Linked DNA regions of Drosophila melanogaster. The protein of the gene in region 1 interacts with the protein of each later gene in a pairwise test. Each region holds a gene or a part of one and is shown in the gene's direction. Other genes may lie near its edges.

What was found. Proteins that work in one complex are often made in the same cells at the same time.
Region 2: the proteins of CG32264 (region 1) and Pits interact in a two-hybrid assay, tested with the Drosophila melanogaster proteins (one large-scale study listed by BioGRID).
Region 3: the proteins of CG32264 (region 1) and eEF1alpha1 interact in a two-hybrid assay, tested with the Drosophila melanogaster proteins (one large-scale study listed by BioGRID).

What each region holds. Positions count from the first base shown.
Region 1 is NT_037436.4:3,784,961-3,789,996, reverse strand, and holds the start of CG32264 (uncharacterized protein), read left to right. Parts: upstream 1-2,036; 5' UTR 2,037-2,440; intron 2,441-5,036.
Region 2 is NC_004354.4:12,580,155-12,585,088, reverse strand, and holds the start of Pits (protein interacting with Ttk69 and Sin3A), read left to right. Parts: upstream 1-1,895; 5' UTR 1,896-2,538; coding exon 2,539-3,517; intron 3,518-4,934.
Region 3 is NT_033778.4:11,889,279-11,896,059, forward strand, and holds eEF1alpha1 (eukaryotic translation elongation factor 1 alpha 1), read left to right. Parts: upstream 1-1,856; 5' UTR 1,857-1,966; intron 1,967-2,117; exon of another isoform or gene 2,118-2,187; intron 2,188-2,843; exon of another isoform or gene 2,844-2,906; intron 2,907-3,844; exon of another isoform or gene 3,845-3,917; intron 3,918-4,263; exon of another isoform or gene 4,264-4,276; 5' UTR 4,277-4,296; coding exon 4,297-5,688; 3' UTR 5,689-6,242; downstream 6,243-6,781. Other genes in the region: ERp60 (endoplasmic reticulum p60), read right to left, coding at 1-111, 1,393-1,541. UniProt on the Drosophila melanogaster protein: This protein promotes the GTP-dependent binding of aminoacyl-tRNA to the A-site of ribosomes during protein biosynthesis.

The sequences.
Region 1 (5,036 bases):
CACTTTCCCAAGAGCGCCCACTTTCTTTGCTCTCGCCCATTGTTGAATGCTGTGCATTTTGCATTTTAAATACAATATAAATTAAGTTGGCAGCTTCTGGCATTGAGAACAGTTTTCGGCAAAGCTGCTGAATGAATGAATGGCAGCCCTTTTATCAAGATTCTCAAGTTAATTTTGCTGAAGGATAAGAAGTTCGGGGAAAATGGGCGGGGAAATCGAGGAAAAACTGACATTGAAGACGAATTGTTCGCTCGGAATGAAGTGGAATTTTATTCCGGTGGGTGGAAAACTTTCCTTGACGATTGAATAAAACGCTGAACTGTTGGGAGAACTCAAAAGCACAATACTATTTTAAAATAGTATTACCAAAGATGTTGGATACCATAAATGAGTTAAGCACAAACTCCATTTGTTTATAAAAATATAATGTGCAAATATGATTTCCAATTTATTTATCCATAAATAATGAAAACATTTAAACATAATATTTGAATCTTATAAATTGTCTCTTTAAATATTAAGTTCGTAAATATATTTGAACGATCATTTACAAAATTAATTTTCTTCGTATAGTTTTGGAGTCACACAAAACATCGGCGAGAAATTTCTCGCATGCGATAAACAGTAAATATTGCACTGCTTGAAGCAGTGCTTCGCAAACTTGCGGCGCCTCTCAAACTGCTATTGTTGTGCTCTCTCCCTGAAAATTTTCTCTCTTTGAATTTTCCATTCTGTTTTTCATTTGCGGACCTGCGCTTTTCATTTGCCGGCATTTCTGGAGCAACAACAAAATTCCAGCGCTGAGTTTTCCCCCTGCCATGCCCCCCTTTTCGTATTTATATATTTAGCTCTCATTAAATATTTTCAACTAGAGCGAAAGATACTTCCGTTTCCTGTTTTATAAAAATAGTACTTGCCATATATAAATATACATATTTACTATGTATATAAATATTTGTAACTATATATGAGGTAAATACTTACTTGACTTAATATAACTAACTAGAAAATAATTCAAACTCCTTATCAAATTCAAAGTAAAATTTGGGAAAATCTACCATTTAGTTCTTCTATATATTATTATATATAAGATTATACTAAAAGTTCACTTTTCCGAGCGCTCACTGTAGGGTGTTTTTGTAGTGGGCCTAAAAATAGGAGACGCCACCACTCGTGAAAATTCTTGAAGAGCAGTTTGGGAAATTCCTTACCGAAAAGTTATATATGGCCGAAAAGAGATTTGCCTTGCGCCATTGTTTAGTGAATTGAATTTTGGTTCAGTGTGTATTTGTTTTTGGAAAAACAAGGTGAAATTGCTTTTGAAGTGCGGTTGCTTCTTGTTTTTCTTTCGCTTCCCTCGAAAAGATTTTCATTTGCCGATTGCCTCATTGGATTTTGAGGTATTAAAGTTTTCGAGAGGGGAATTAGTATCGCATTATTTGGATGTTTCTGGTGCGGAATGCAAATTGATTTTCAATAGTTTTTCGACATTTTCCAGCTCGCCAGAGGAGGCGGCTTTCCACCCAAATTGGCAATTATCATCGGGTGGCGGAATTTGTGGGTGCGAAATGCAAATCAATGGGCAAATCTAATTCAATTTGAGTTCCTATAATCAACTGCTGTGAATGTGAAATGAAAGGCAGACGAAGTTCACTCGTCACTTGATTCAACGTCGTTTATTAATTTGATTTATATGACTTAATGATTAACCAAATATTTATCATATTGAAAAAGATTGACCATTTCGATTAAAAACAAAGATACAACTATATTATCTTTGTAATAATATTTCGATGCTGTTTATATAGCCACGTGTAAATACGATATGTTATCAAGAAATTTATTAATAGATATAAAATCGAGTTTGGCGCCAAATTAAATTTTGAATTTCCAGCCGCTCTCTTCTCGAGTGTGACCGCGCTGCCGACAAATGCCGCGAAACGGTGCAAATTCGGCCTTATCGGCCGCTAAGCAGCTGGCCACACTGCGGCATATAAACAATTTTTTGTCACAATTTTTTTGAGAGCAGACGAACGCACATCGAACGCCAATTGGGGATCGTAAAGTCGGAAAAACAGCGTCGCGCTCGCTTCGAAATAGAAAAAAAACACAATAAACATTAGGTCAAAATCGCATTGGCAATCTTTTAAGTTTCGATTTGATTTAATTTCGCGGTGCAAAGCGAAAGAGAATTTTGAAACGTTTGATTTTTGTTGTTTCGCCGCTCTCTTCGTTGTTGTTCTTTTTGTTGTTTTTTCCGGCGCGTCGTTTGGCGTTTTTAGTGTATGCGTGCGTGTGTGTGCGTAACTACGTGCAGCTGTGTGCGTGCTTCAGTTTGATTTAAATAAATTATTAGTGAAAAGCAGCTGAGAAGAGTAAAGAATACGAAAAAGTGCAAGTAAACGCAATAAAAATATTGCACATTAAATAATCAACAAGTGTAAGTGCAAAGCAAGTGATGTGCAAAATGCAAGAGCAGAGAAAAGAAAATAAAAGCAGAGAAAATGCAGAAAGGAAAATTGTTGTAACTTTTTAACAGCCCAATATCGAATTTAAGTGGCTATTAAAAATCGAAGATCGAGGCAAAGTGCAAAAGGCAACAAAACTACGAAAGCGCCCAAAAGGAAAATCCGGTTTTACAACTTCTCTCTTCACACACTAAACACACACATACAAAACACTCACACTCACACCAGCGAACAATCGAATTCTCTCTGAGAAACTAAAACTAAAATTCCTTTGCTGGGTTTTAATGAATTTTCTATGGGAATTTCACCAGCTAACGAGCAGCTAAAAAAATAATAATCGTAGATAAACAAATAGTGTGAATGAAAAATCAGCTGCGACAGGTGATGCAAAACAAAATACGCAAGGTGCAAAGAAAAAAAATACTTTCATGTGAATTCGATCACAGTGAACGCTCAGTAAAGAAGGAAGCTATTATCTGATCATATCATTATATTATTTAATTTAGAAAACAACTTTTAAAAATTACTTTAGATAATTAACTCATATGCTCATATCATTTGAAGTGCTAGAAAGTTTAAATAAATAGTTATCCATTTTAAAGCTCCACTGTATCTCAAGTATTTAAAAAACCATCCAGAAAAGTGAAATCAATAACAAAAGAATTTGAAAAAAGCGGAAAGAGCGGTCATAAAAATAGTATAAACAGAAAATAACAATAAACCAGTCAAAAAAATAAGCAGTTACCTGTCTCACTCTCTCTTTCCTTAATTCAAACATTTGCGTAAACAATAACCGCTTTACAGTAATTTCGGGCACCTGCTTTTTGTTTACACAAATGCATAAATATGTTGAATATGAATAAATTAATTCATTCAGCGTGTACGGGGCACGCTGCCTCGCTAAATGGAATTTTCACACGAAAAGTGGGAAATATGTGAAGAAAATATAGCGCCAACTTGTGTTATCTTATCCGTAACACAATTTTAATGATGGTGCAATTGAAAAAAATAGCAGAGAAATGTGCTACAATTGCTTCCTTATCAAAAAAGGTATTACCTGCCGGAAAGAGATAGTGGTAGTAGTGATAGGCGGGGAAAGAAAGAGATGGGTGTACGGTGTAGGAAATTACATATTTCATTATTTCCTCGCCCGATTTTTCCGACCAAATATTTTTATCTACTTACAATGTTGTCTAGACAGATTCCTTCGCTTTTCTTCCGTTTTTTTGTTGTGCCACCCATTTGTATATGTATGTACATAGATGTGTATAGGAAAAGTCTGGTAGTGGTGTGTATACTGCGAGATTTCGCACCCTCTCCTAGGATTTTCCTCTGCCGCCGCCTTTACTGCTTTTTGTTGTGCTCCAGACTTCAGTTTACTCCACTTTGCGACGACTTTCGACCCCCCCCCACACCCACAGCAGTGGCAGGCCCTTTTGTGAAGCACCCCCCTTTGCAGCATCCAGCAACCCCCAAAACGCATTCTCTGCTCCCTTTTATTGCCTTTCCTTGTTGTTTTCGGACAGTGGTGCTTGCCTAATTGAAACTAAGGCTGTCATAAGAAAAGAAGTCAAGACAAAAACTACACTTAGTTTATTCTGGGATTACCCAGCTATTAAACACAAATTGAAATATTGTGTAATTATAAACAACAGGACATTTTTCGAGATTCCAAATTCTTTGTTTACTGTAGAGCATCAGCTGTTATAGTCAGCTGACTCAACCGAAATGCACAGTGTGACCATGCTGAGCAACTAAAATAAAAAATTTTTGGAATCCCCGTCAGTTTACCATGTAGTTTACTAAAAATTCCTTAGATAATTGCATACTGTGGTGTTTGGCTTTGTGGGCGCCGTTTGCGCGCAATTTTAAATTTATGCGAACGTTCTGTCACCCTCTCTTTCTCCCTTCATATGCCCATCTCTTTCCCTTCTCCGGGATAAAGAAGTTTTGCCGAAACAACAAAAACAGCGGAGGATGACGACTCTTGTCCACCGTTTTGTTTGTGTTTTTGTCCATTGGTTTTTGCTGTCTGCCGCTGTTTTGCTTTTGTTGCTGCCATTGTCGTTGCAACGTCGGAAAGAGACGGAGCTACTGGGGAGCGACAAAGAGGGGTGCTGCAGACAGAGATAGCGAATTCCCAGTGAATTGTGAATTGCGTTCCATTAGCAGCAACCCCGAACACTTGTGCTTGTGGACTGTGCTGCATGGGCACAGTGGAATGGGTTGTATGACAATTGGAGGTATTACTGTGCACAATCGCAATATTTTCCCAATTTAATATTAGCAGATTGGCATTTAAAAAGGAATTTTTCTGTAGCTTAAACAAACCATTTCTGCACCTGATAGCTAATCCACCCCTAATTGCCCACTGTGCATCCCACTGTGCGACAGCTGCTGGTCAAAAGAGCTGATTGTTGTTGGTTTTGCCATTGCTGCTGTTTCGGTTTTTGTTGCCTTTTCTGTTTGTTGCTGCCTCCGTACTTCCTCCATCTCTGCCCCCCTTTCCTTCGTTCATTGAAATTTTCTTGCGGCGTTCGACAAATTTGTTGTTTAAAGTCGCGTGTG
Region 2 (4,934 bases), on another chromosome or scaffold:
ATTTATTATTTATCGATTCTCGACCCATTCACCCCGTCCCCTCATTCCAAGAACAATAATTAACAATGCTAAGAAACAAACTTTTTTGTATTGACGAGAATAAGTCTAACTCCTATAACTAAATATATAAGAATGTTTTTGCTCAAAGGCAATTTTAGTTGTAATTGATACGAACAGACATACAAACACACACACACGCTAACTGTTATACAAATGAAACGCACACGCTCAAGCCTAATACTGTTATACTGTGTACTTTATATAGCCATTATATACCTAAACCTATATACATATAGGATCGAAACGCTTGCAATTAACTGCTTACATAAGACATTTGAGTCGGGCCCTTGTTATACGGACGTATGCCAGTAGAACAGTGGCCGCGCCGAACCGATCTAGCATTTAACTATCTATATACAACAAATATGTGCGATATTTTTTATATGCAGCTAATTTAATGTGTTGTATTTTGACCCCACACCACCTTGTAACTACGTTTATACGCCTGCTTTTCGAAAATTGAGTAACGCTTATAGAATTTTCGATTCAATTCTTTATGCCTTTTAACAGTTGAACATATATAATCAGTATAGCAACATTTTCTACCCACTTGTAAATAAGTTTATAACTAATGCAGTTTTTGTTGCCTACTTATTCGGGAGTCGAAAGGTCTGTAATTACAAATAAAGCTTGTGTATAAACGTAGTTCGTAGATTCTCTTTTGATTTTAATCTTAAAACATTTTTTGTTAATAAAAGAGGAAATTAAAAAAAAACTTTTAAACTTTCTAGTGTCTTTATTGTGGAATTTTAATTTTGTGGCAATTTAAAGAATATTTTTATATCTTTAATTGAGCCAAACATTTCATAAATAAAATCTCAAATGAAATGTTAAGAAGCGAGTACAGTTGCGCGTGCACGGACATAAACTTATGGCCGGGACTGTATGGAAAGGTGGGGGTGTAAGGAAAGGACCCCGTTTACGAGGTCGTTGCTTGTTCGTGTGTTTCTGTATCTGGTGGCTCCTTTTTCCGCATTTCCTTTTAACAGGATGTACGCACAGATACGGAATTTGTCCCAGACCATGGTCGGGAAATCGATTCAGGCCAAACGCCAGGAATACGAACACCCAAGCATTTTCGCCTATACATATGTACATATATGCAACGATATGCATACACATACATGCTTGCAGTTTGTGGTCCTGCGCAGTGCTTTACGGATGTCCTTGTTTTTTTTTTTTTTTTTGCTAGGAATGAGGGCTTTTAATTTCATTAACAGTTACAGAGCTCTGTTAAGTCAGCTGTTCGCCGAGCGAAAGAGACGGAGCATACCAGATTCAAGGTCTACATAACTGTATCCTATGTACATACGTTCGGTATCTATACGAAAAACGGATGTGTATCCACGAACTTTACATGGTATACTTACAGGCGGACTTTGGGGGAAGGACTTCGTCACTAGATTCCGTTTCGTGAATATGACGTGCAGGCACGTACGCTGGCAGGGTCGTAGCCCCAAAGGGGGTTAAAAATAAAAATAAATATTATTTTTAATTACTTAAACAGCCAAAAGGGTTTATTTTTAATATTTGGGCGTAATATTAGGAGCAATATATTAAAAGCTATATATATTAATACGAAATAGTAGAATTACTATGCTCAAAATGATGCTAAATTTTAAAGAAAATTTAAAATTTCCTTAGCTTTATCATGGTTGAAGTCTTCGCTACAGTCTCAGCCACTTTGGCAACCCTGGTTGAAGTCCACTGAAAGGTTCGTGTCTCTGATATAAGCCAGTATTTCAGGTATTTTCTTGGTATTTCCCATTGCGGCAGCGAAGATTTTTTAGTACATTTCGCTTGGCCCCTGGGGTATATTCTCACATACCAGCCAAGGCCACACTCTATCAGCAAGCTGTGTGGCGTCCGGTCGCTTTTTCAGTCATTCGTTGCGTCGCTGCGATCTCATCGTTCGTTTTGTTCCTACACGTTTTTGGCGTCGTCGTACATTTACGTGTCCCGCTTACTCGCGCGCACCCTCTCTCTTTCACTCTGCGGCGCGCGTGCCTAAGTGTGGTGTGTGGTGTGTGTGCCTGTGTGCGTGCGTGTTGGCGAGCAGCGCGGCGCAGCACAATAGAAAAGAAGAAGAAGAAGAAGCTGAAGCTGAAGGAAAAAACATAAGTGAATTTTTTTCGGGTGGAAGCGCGGTGAAATATGCGTGCGTGCGCGCGTGTATATGTGCGTGTGTGCGAAAATCAATACGAAAACATGAATAACAAATGCTAAATAAGAAAAATAGCTACAACGCACAACCGAAAAGAAGCTGAAACAAGAAAAAAGAAAGCGAAAAAAAAGGAGAAAATAATAAATAATAGGAATTGGGAATCCAGCAGGAAGGAACAGTTAGCCATTCCAGTGAGCTAAAACAGCACAAACCCATTTCCAGATCCAGCCCATCCAGGGCTTCCAATTGACAGTTGCCAATTGACAGTTGACAGTTGCTAGTTGCCAGTTGACAGTTTCCAGAAACGCAGCAGGATGTCGCTGCAAACGAAAAGGCAGCACTGCTATCTGTGCGATTTACCCCGCATGCCCTGGGCGATGATCAATGACTTCTCGGAGGCGGTGTGCCGCGGTTGCGTCAACTATGAGGGCGCCGATCGCATCGAGGCGGTGCTGGACGCCGCCCGCCAAATGAAGCGTCTCCATCCCGCCAGCAAACAGCAGCGTTCCCATGAGAACGGCGAAGTGTCCGCCGCTGCAGCGGCCGCCGTCGTCCTACAGCAGCAACAACAGTTACAAGTCGGTCCAGTTCCGGGACAAGGACCGGGTTCCCATCGCGGCGGAGGTGGCGGCGGTCCACCGGGTGCTCCGCCCGGAAGTGGTGGTCCAGGTCCGTCGGGCGCCGGTTCGCTCAGTTCGCTGGGCAATGCCGTTGCTGCTGCCGCCGCCGCTGCTGCAGTGCATCATCACCATCAGATGCCCTATCAAATGCCAGTGCCACGCATCGGTCCGCCACTGGACTATCCCGTTAAGCTGGAGGATGCCCCCGGTGGCGGCGTACGACCCGTACGCATTTCACACATGACGCCCCACCACCTGCCGCCAAATGCGACCCGCGGCGGTGGCGGTGCACCCGGCGGCGGCGTACCCACCGCCGGCAGTGGCGGTGGCAGCCTACCGCCCGCCCTATCCGTGAATTTAAAGCGTCCGCCCAGCGAGGATGTCGATGTGGATGTAAGCCAGCAGCAACAGCAGTCGGGACACGGCCTGGCGCCAGATGGCAGTGCTGGCAACTCCCTATCCGCCGGCGGAGGCGTATCCGGCGGTTGTCCGCCCGGCATCAAGCGCAGCGCCATGGACGATCCAAGTGGCGTGGGCGGCAGACCGCCATTGACGCGTGGCGAATCCCTGCCAGCGGCGGTCAGCTATGTGCCCGAGCGTCAGCTTAGCGGACTCCGTGATAAGCAGCAGCCGGTCAGAGCGCCCAGTTTCGATGCATCGACCTTCAAAGCAGGTGAGCAAACATGACATAGATCATTCAAAATACTTGGCACAGTGGTTACCCAATAGAAAGAACTTTGCTGCAGCAAGTAATGGGAAAATTTTTCATTTGCAGTAGGGATTCGGGAAAAGCAGGAGTAGTTTCAACTACCTTGAAAACTACCTTTCATAATAATTAGAGTAAAGTGATCAGAGTCTCAAAAGTGCCGCGTTGATAAATATTTGGCTTTATAAATGATAGTACAAAACACTATCTATCGTGGTGGAAAACAGATTTGGGATAATCCCCTATCAGTGATGGATTTCTTATCACTTATAGCGATCGGATCGAATCGCCAGTGGGAAATACGCGATATGGATTAAAAAATGGAGTGACCAGGGGGATGTTGTTTCCCAGCCACAGTGAACACTTGATATCTTCTAAAGTATATTTTATCAAAATATTTCAAATACAAAACTCTTCGAGGGGTGATATTTCAGTTTGCTTTGATAGCCAATGTCAAACAAAAATAAAAACTTGTTTAAACAAACAAGTGAGTTAGAGGAAATTTTTTTTTGCTAATTTCAATCTAAGATTTGCTGGATAAAATTAAACACTATTTTATCCTCCGGAAACATAGGAAATTTGCTTAAATCCTAAGTTTGAAAAAGTTGGCGGCCACTGTATTTGTTTACCGTTTCTTACCAATCCCCCGCCTTTTTTTTTTTAATATGAGCCGTGATCGCGGGATACAGAGCACTGTTTCTGCCTCGCTCTAGCCTGGATGTGGGTGGAAGGTCGTGGTGGGGGAGTGGGAGGAAGAGAGGCGGCGATATAGTGGCACACATACCGCTTATTCAGGGCAGAGTGAAACGGCGTGATTGCCTGCTCCTTATCTCTCCTTACTGGAAGGCGAGCTAGAAGAAGACTGCGCTTCTCATGTATATGCACGTACACATTTACGTTTGCATGGATGATAAGGAGCGTTGTGTTGGAGATTAGATAACTCATTTGCTTATCAGCGCGTCCTTATCGCCACCCAATGCGTATGTATAACTCACACATACACGCATACGTGCACATGCATGCATGTACATTCAAACAGAAAAAGAAGCGTATAAACGCATTTTGCAACCCTCTGTGGAAAAAAGGGGCTGCTAACCCTTGCCATTAAAAGGCATGCGCACATGCCAATATACATATAGGGAATATACATGTGCATGTACCGCGCAGACACACACGCGCACACAACTACGTGTTCGTTTACATGCACGTACGTAACAGTCGCAATGGCAATAACAAAAAACGGCGAGAAAAAAAAGCGCAAAAAGCACACGAAAAAAGGGCCGCAGAATGTAATATAAACAGAGACGTGCAAAAATCGTCGACGCTGACGTTGTAATGTTCTCGCTCTCTATCTCTTTCTCCCTCCGTCTTCTGTCGCTTTTCT
Region 3 (6,781 bases), on another chromosome or scaffold:
TTTCCAGCTTCCGTACAGTCAACCTTGGCCAGTTTGATTGGCGGATCATCGTCTTTCACGATCTCCGCCGCCTTGGCGTACTCGGGCTTCAATCGCTTGCAGTGGCCGCACCTTAAACAGGAAAAAACACTCTGTTAGGACACGTCACTTAAACATTATGTTGGTAACAATACTATCTAATTCATCATTTGTTATCAAGGCAACGGGAAGACAAGTTCCCAAAAAACTAGCTTGTAATTAAAGTAAGGGTGCTGGAATTATCAACTGTCTTATCACACAAGTACAAGTGCCCATTAGGCATACAGAGAGAAAAACGACTTGGTACTTATTTGAAACAGCAGAGTATAGTCTGCACTCTTAGCAGTGCAGATAATAATTCATTTTTGATAAAGATAAGTGATGCCTTAAGTTAACTATGTTATAATGAAAAGAGCAGTTTTATTGCAGTGTACAACTTTTTCAACTTCATCCCTGTGTATTTATGCTTGAATACTGATAAGGTTCGTCATGAGGGAATCAAGTCTCCATGCCAAGTAGTTCAACAGCTCTTTGGGGATTTCGAAAGCCGGCCGGCAAAAAAAACGCTAATAATTTACCTAGTTCATTGTCCAAGTGTGAGCTTATAGTTTACCCCTGATAATGGGCAAACAAATGGCTCAAAAGAGAGTAAATAGGCACAGTAAATATGTGTTATGTACTAAACAAAAATGTATTAAAAGGTTATTGTGTTCAGTGTGGATTACGATGGAAGTTAAAAATGTGTCTACTGACATGAGAAATTTATAGCACAATCAGCATAACTTTTGTGAGTAGGCAGGCAATTAAAATTGAAGTTTTAATATGGTTGGTGTAAACTGTTGGGAAATTACATTTGTATGAGAACTGTGAGTGTTTCAGACTATGATAACCAGTTTCAAGCTAAATCTAAGTTAACCCTTAGAATTACACATTCCTGGGATTATGGGTATAATGCATAGGCATAAGAAACTATAATAAAAGATGCGCTATGTACACTGGGGCCCCTATGCCTGCTCACTATCATTAGCCAGTGGACAAGTGGAGCAGGAATTGCACGGAAATTGTACCAACTAGGCACTTTGGCACCCCGCGCTCTAAAATGGCCGACGGCACCAATACTGGCATATCATCATTGCCCCTCTCTTTGCGTCTCGTTTCGTTCCGTCACTCGTTCCTTCTTTATTTGCCGGCAAAAGCAAGGCAAACGCTGACGTGTACTTTGCGCTTGCGATGGCCGGAAAATCGGGCATCGGTCGGCACTGGGCATTGGGAATCGAATTAAGTTGCGGACGCAACAAGCGGATTATACGCGAATCGCACACGCAATGCATTTGTTGTAGGATGGCGCCCGGCCACGCCCACTCACTAACTCACCAGGGGGCGTAGAACATGACCAGCGTCGTCTCGTGTTGTTTTAGGGTGGTGGCAAAGTCGTCGTCCCCCAGTTCCAGGACATCCTGCTCCGCTCCGGACGAGATGGCGATGAAGCCTAGTAGGAGCACTCCAGCAAGGCGCCACATCATTATTTGGGTTCACTTGAAGCGATATCGGTGAATAATTCAAGTTCAACTAGGCCGTCGAACGCCTACTTCTACAACAAAAACTGAGTACCGGACCGGTTCGGTATTTTTCAACGATTGAATTCGCTTTTTGCCTCTTTCGCCACGTCGCTTCTTATTCTGTTTCGTCGTAGTGTGGCCAGGTGGGGCTAGGCCGAAAATGTCTAAAGTTGGAAAAAGCTCTCAGTTGTGAGCTTTCCTGCATATGTAAACAATAAATAAAGATGGCTCATCATTTATTAATGACTAATGTCTATATGTGTGGGTTTTAAATGCTTTAGCTATAATTCTTTCCAGTCACACAGAAAAGTTGAGATCTAGATTTAAATTAATTTAATTGATACCGATTTATAATAAAATTTTGTCAAATTATCATTTCATAAAAGATGGTAATTGCATTTATTGTTAACTGATTTCGCAAGCATAACAATAATCATATTATTAATAACTAATTAATTAATTTCACAAAATTAGGAAAACACTTAGGAACTTTTAATTGCGTCCTATATAAGGGGCAGGCTAACAACTTTTGTTCTATGCACAATGAATAAATTTATTGAGTACAAGTGAAAACTGAGTGAAAAAATAGTCTAACAAAAAATATTAAGCAGTAAGTTACAAATTCAAATAAATATTAGCATTCTGATGAATTCCAGAAGAAAAAGTATTAAAACGTGAGATCTTAAGTTATAAATTTTTACAATATTGTATAAATTGATACAATACCAAATTACTTATAGTTTTATTTGTAGCATATTTTAGTTGTAGCAACGGACGCCAAAAAATGTATAAATAAATGAAACGTATTACATAAATTTAAACGATCTCAAGCTTCTATTGTTATTTAAAGTTCTATTACGTTAGGGTTCACATACAAATTAAAGTTCAGGTTCTAGTCTAAAAGTTCAAAATGCGGACTACTAATGCAATTGTTATAGTTTTTAAATATTAAGAGATATGTGTTCCAATATTACGTATAGAAATTATAGACATCGTTTTGTAGAAAATATTTTTGGAATCACTGATTATTTAGTTTTTCATATAAAAACAATGTCGAGCAAACAAGGTTTTTTAAATCCCTCAATCGTTAGGTTATTGTATTTTGCCACTTTCAATCACTTAAATTTCAATAAAATGAAGTGCTTCATTCGCGCGTAGTGGAAACACCGCAGTGAGAACACGGTTTCTGCTCTTTTGACAGTTGCGTAGCTTCGGTCACACCATGTGTCAAACGAGGCTTCCTGTGCTGAGCTCTGCCGAACGCTCGTTCACTTTGTTCGAATCCGTCGCCGCTTAGACTTCGTGATTTCTCATTCAGCTTATTCGAGAGTAAGTTTTACCTGCGAGGCTATAATTAAGTAATTTCTGCAACGGGACTGCAGCCAGAAAACAATTTATAAACAAATATGCAGCTGAGACGCCGAATTTGTGCATATTTCCAGTGTTTTTCCTGTGTGTGTGTAATAAACCCGGAGATAACCTCTAACTGCGGTTTTCCAAAGTGAAAGGTGGCCATAGAAGCAAACACGTGGCAAGTCTGCAAAGGCAAAAATTTTAACTGGCGTTCCCAGTTAAAGTTCCCAGCATTCTCAAAATAATTTTCCGGCTTTTCCGGCCGCATTTTCGCCCTGCAATATGGTGCACTTAGTGTGTAATTACTTTGCCACGCCCACGCCGGACACAGAGGTCATCCACCAGATGTGCTCATTAACCGAGAAAAAAAAACGTGCTTTCTCTCTTGCCTTTGTCATGACCTATAGATATTCCTTATTCTTTCTTTTTGCGGCATGGAATTCTAAAATGGCGACCCAGTGGCGTGAGTCAAGTGGGCGAAAAAAATTCGCCTGGCAACAAGCGAAAAAATGTGCTTTTTTGGGTTTCCAGCCCATTAGCATATCTGGTGAAATGGCACTCGCATCAGCTATTTCGCCATTTCCAACCGACTCCATAATTGGTTTTGGTAAAATGGCTGCCGCTGCACTACGTTCTTGAATAATTCGTTGTGTGCCCCTCTCTTTTTCATTTCTTTCCAATTACCAATTGTGCCACCGCGGCGAGATCGCTTGCATTTGTACAAGTCACACACGCACACTAATGCACATCCGCCATTTTGGTCTCTCTCTCTCTCTATTCCTCTCTTACTTTTCCTCCGGCCGGCAACAGCGTCACACAAATACACAGGCATAGATATACACACGCATAGGCAGATAAGCACATGTGTATTTGCGAATTAAATTTGCTGGAATTTTCCTTTGGACTCTTCGATTTAACATGATGATGATTTTTCAGTTCTGCTACTGAAGACAGTTGACGAAAGCAAAAATACCAAAATCACTGAAACAAAATCGAGTTTCCATATGGAATTTTATTTGCACGCTCTTTTCTGTAGTTGCGCCCCACTCGTTTTACCCACACCCTTACATGCGGGCACTGGACCTAACCTCAAAAAACACGTTTTGTACGGCTGCAAGAGTTTGAGGTTAGGTTGTGCTCGCGCATGCAAACAAAAGTCGAACGTACGCTAGGGAAATGAGAAAGTGTTATACCCACTAATAATTGTAGTTGTAATCCCACCGAATGCTAACGAATTGTTTTACCCTTTGTTTATTCCAACCTCTCTTGCTCGCCAACCCGCCGAACCCTGCAACCTTCCAATGTTCCAACGTTCCGTCAATCCAACACTCGAATACACACAACAGCCATAGTGTAATCATCCAACATGGGCAAGGAAAAGATTCACATTAACATTGTCGTGATCGGACACGTCGATTCCGGTAAGTCGACCACCACCGGACACTTGATCTACAAGTGCGGTGGTATCGACAAGCGTACCATCGAGAAGTTCGAGAAGGAGGCCCAGGAGATGGGAAAGGGATCCTTCAAGTACGCCTGGGTTTTGGATAAGTTGAAGGCTGAGCGCGAGCGTGGTATCACCATCGATATCGCCCTGTGGAAGTTCGAAACTGCCAAGTACTACGTGACCATCATTGATGCCCCCGGACACAGGGATTTCATCAAGAACATGATCACTGGTACCTCGCAGGCCGATTGCGCCGTGCTGATTGTCGCCGCCGGAACCGGAGAATTCGAGGCAGGTATCTCGAAGAACGGCCAGACCCGCGAGCACGCCCTGCTCGCCTTCACCCTGGGTGTGAAGCAGCTGATCGTTGGTGTGAACAAGATGGACTCCTCCGAGCCACCATACAGCGAGGCCCGTTATGAGGAAATCAAGAAGGAAGTGTCCTCTTACATCAAGAAGATCGGCTACAACCCAGCCGCCGTTGCCTTCGTGCCCATTTCCGGATGGCACGGCGACAACATGTTGGAACCCTCTACCAACATGCCCTGGTTCAAGGGATGGAAGGTGGAGCGCAAGGAGGGTAACGCTGACGGCAAGACCCTGATCGATGCCCTCGATGCCATCCTTCCCCCAGCCCGTCCCACCGACAAGGCCCTGCGTCTGCCCCTGCAGGATGTGTACAAAATTGGCGGTATTGGAACAGTACCCGTGGGTCGTGTGGAGACTGGTGTGCTGAAGCCCGGTACCGTTGTGGTCTTCGCCCCTGCTAACATCACCACTGAGGTCAAGTCCGTGGAGATGCACCACGAGGCCCTGCAGGAGGCCGTTCCCGGAGACAACGTTGGCTTCAACGTCAAGAACGTGTCCGTGAAGGAGCTGCGTCGTGGCTACGTTGCCGGTGACTCCAAGGCTAACCCCCCCAAGGGAGCCGCCGACTTCACCGCCCAGGTCATCGTGCTGAACCACCCCGGTCAGATTGCCAACGGCTACACCCCCGTGTTGGATTGCCACACCGCTCACATTGCTTGCAAGTTCGCTGAGATCAAGGAGAAGGTCGACCGTCGTTCCGGCAAGACCACCGAGGAGAACCCCAAGTTCATCAAGTCTGGCGATGCTGCCATCGTCAACCTGGTGCCCTCTAAGCCCCTGTGCGTGGAGGCCTTCCAGGAGTTCCCCCCTCTGGGTCGCTTCGCTGTGCGTGACATGAGGCAGACCGTGGCTGTCGGTGTCATTAAGGCTGTCAACTTCAAGGATGCCTCCGGTGGCAAGGTCACCAAGGCCGCCGAGAAGGCCACCAAGGGCAAGAAGTAGCTGGTTTGCTTCCACTCAACAACAACAACAACACGCAGTAGTAGCAGCAACAACAAGCATATAACCAACATCATAATGCAGCCAACAACACCACTCAATAATACCAGCAACAGCAGCAGCGAACACAATAGTAGTATAACACCAACACCTGTCCTGCGCAAGATGACCGATAAGATGATGTTTCAGCAGAAGCATAAGTTTAATTTCTTCCATCGAAAGGAGTTTCGACGGATACGAATGCTAAATGCAGACGAGGCCGCCTAAATTGGGAAACGGTGGATCCCAAGGATAAGAGTGCACACTGGGAAAACACTTGCATTTATGCATCCACTCCTCATCCACTTCCCCGTCGATCTTTAGTTTACTAAATATGGTATGATGCACGGAGTTGACTTCGTTTTATCATATCATATATAGGAATCCTCTGTAGCATTTATGATATCGTTTAAATTAACCTTTATACTTTGATATGTATCATTTATCTTACCCTACTTTTGCACACACTACTTTGTACACAAGAAAAGAACCAGAATAGAAGCGATAACTATATTTACAAAAAAAATAAAAACCCTATTTTTGTATTTCTTTTGTTTTTACCACCCAGCCCGTAAAAGAGCACTCTCTTTGCTTGTTGCCTCCCGATTTTCAGCGCCATGATCGATCGTCCCTAACTCCAAGTTCACTTATCGTCGATGCCACAAAGTACAAACAAGAGCTAGTCGAAGAGTACAACAATTGAATCTGACAACAAATACCTCAATCGTTTAAATAAAGCAAGCAATTGCATCTGAAGAATAATGAATATTTTTTATTGTATTTGAGGGGGGGGGGGGGGCTTTTATTTCTCATCGCAAATAGAGAAAAATGCATTGATTTATTTATTTAAATAATAACGAACGAAGTTGGAACAAGTGTTTTTTTATAATTTCTGTTTAAAGTTATGGGATATATTATTTCCTTCGTAAAATCTGTATAAAAACAAATTAAAAAATGTACTAGAAAATAAACTAAGATCGTAAAATACATATATGGATTTAAATATAACTATATTTACATTGGAGTAATTTGCACAAAAAGGTGAAACAGTGTGGGA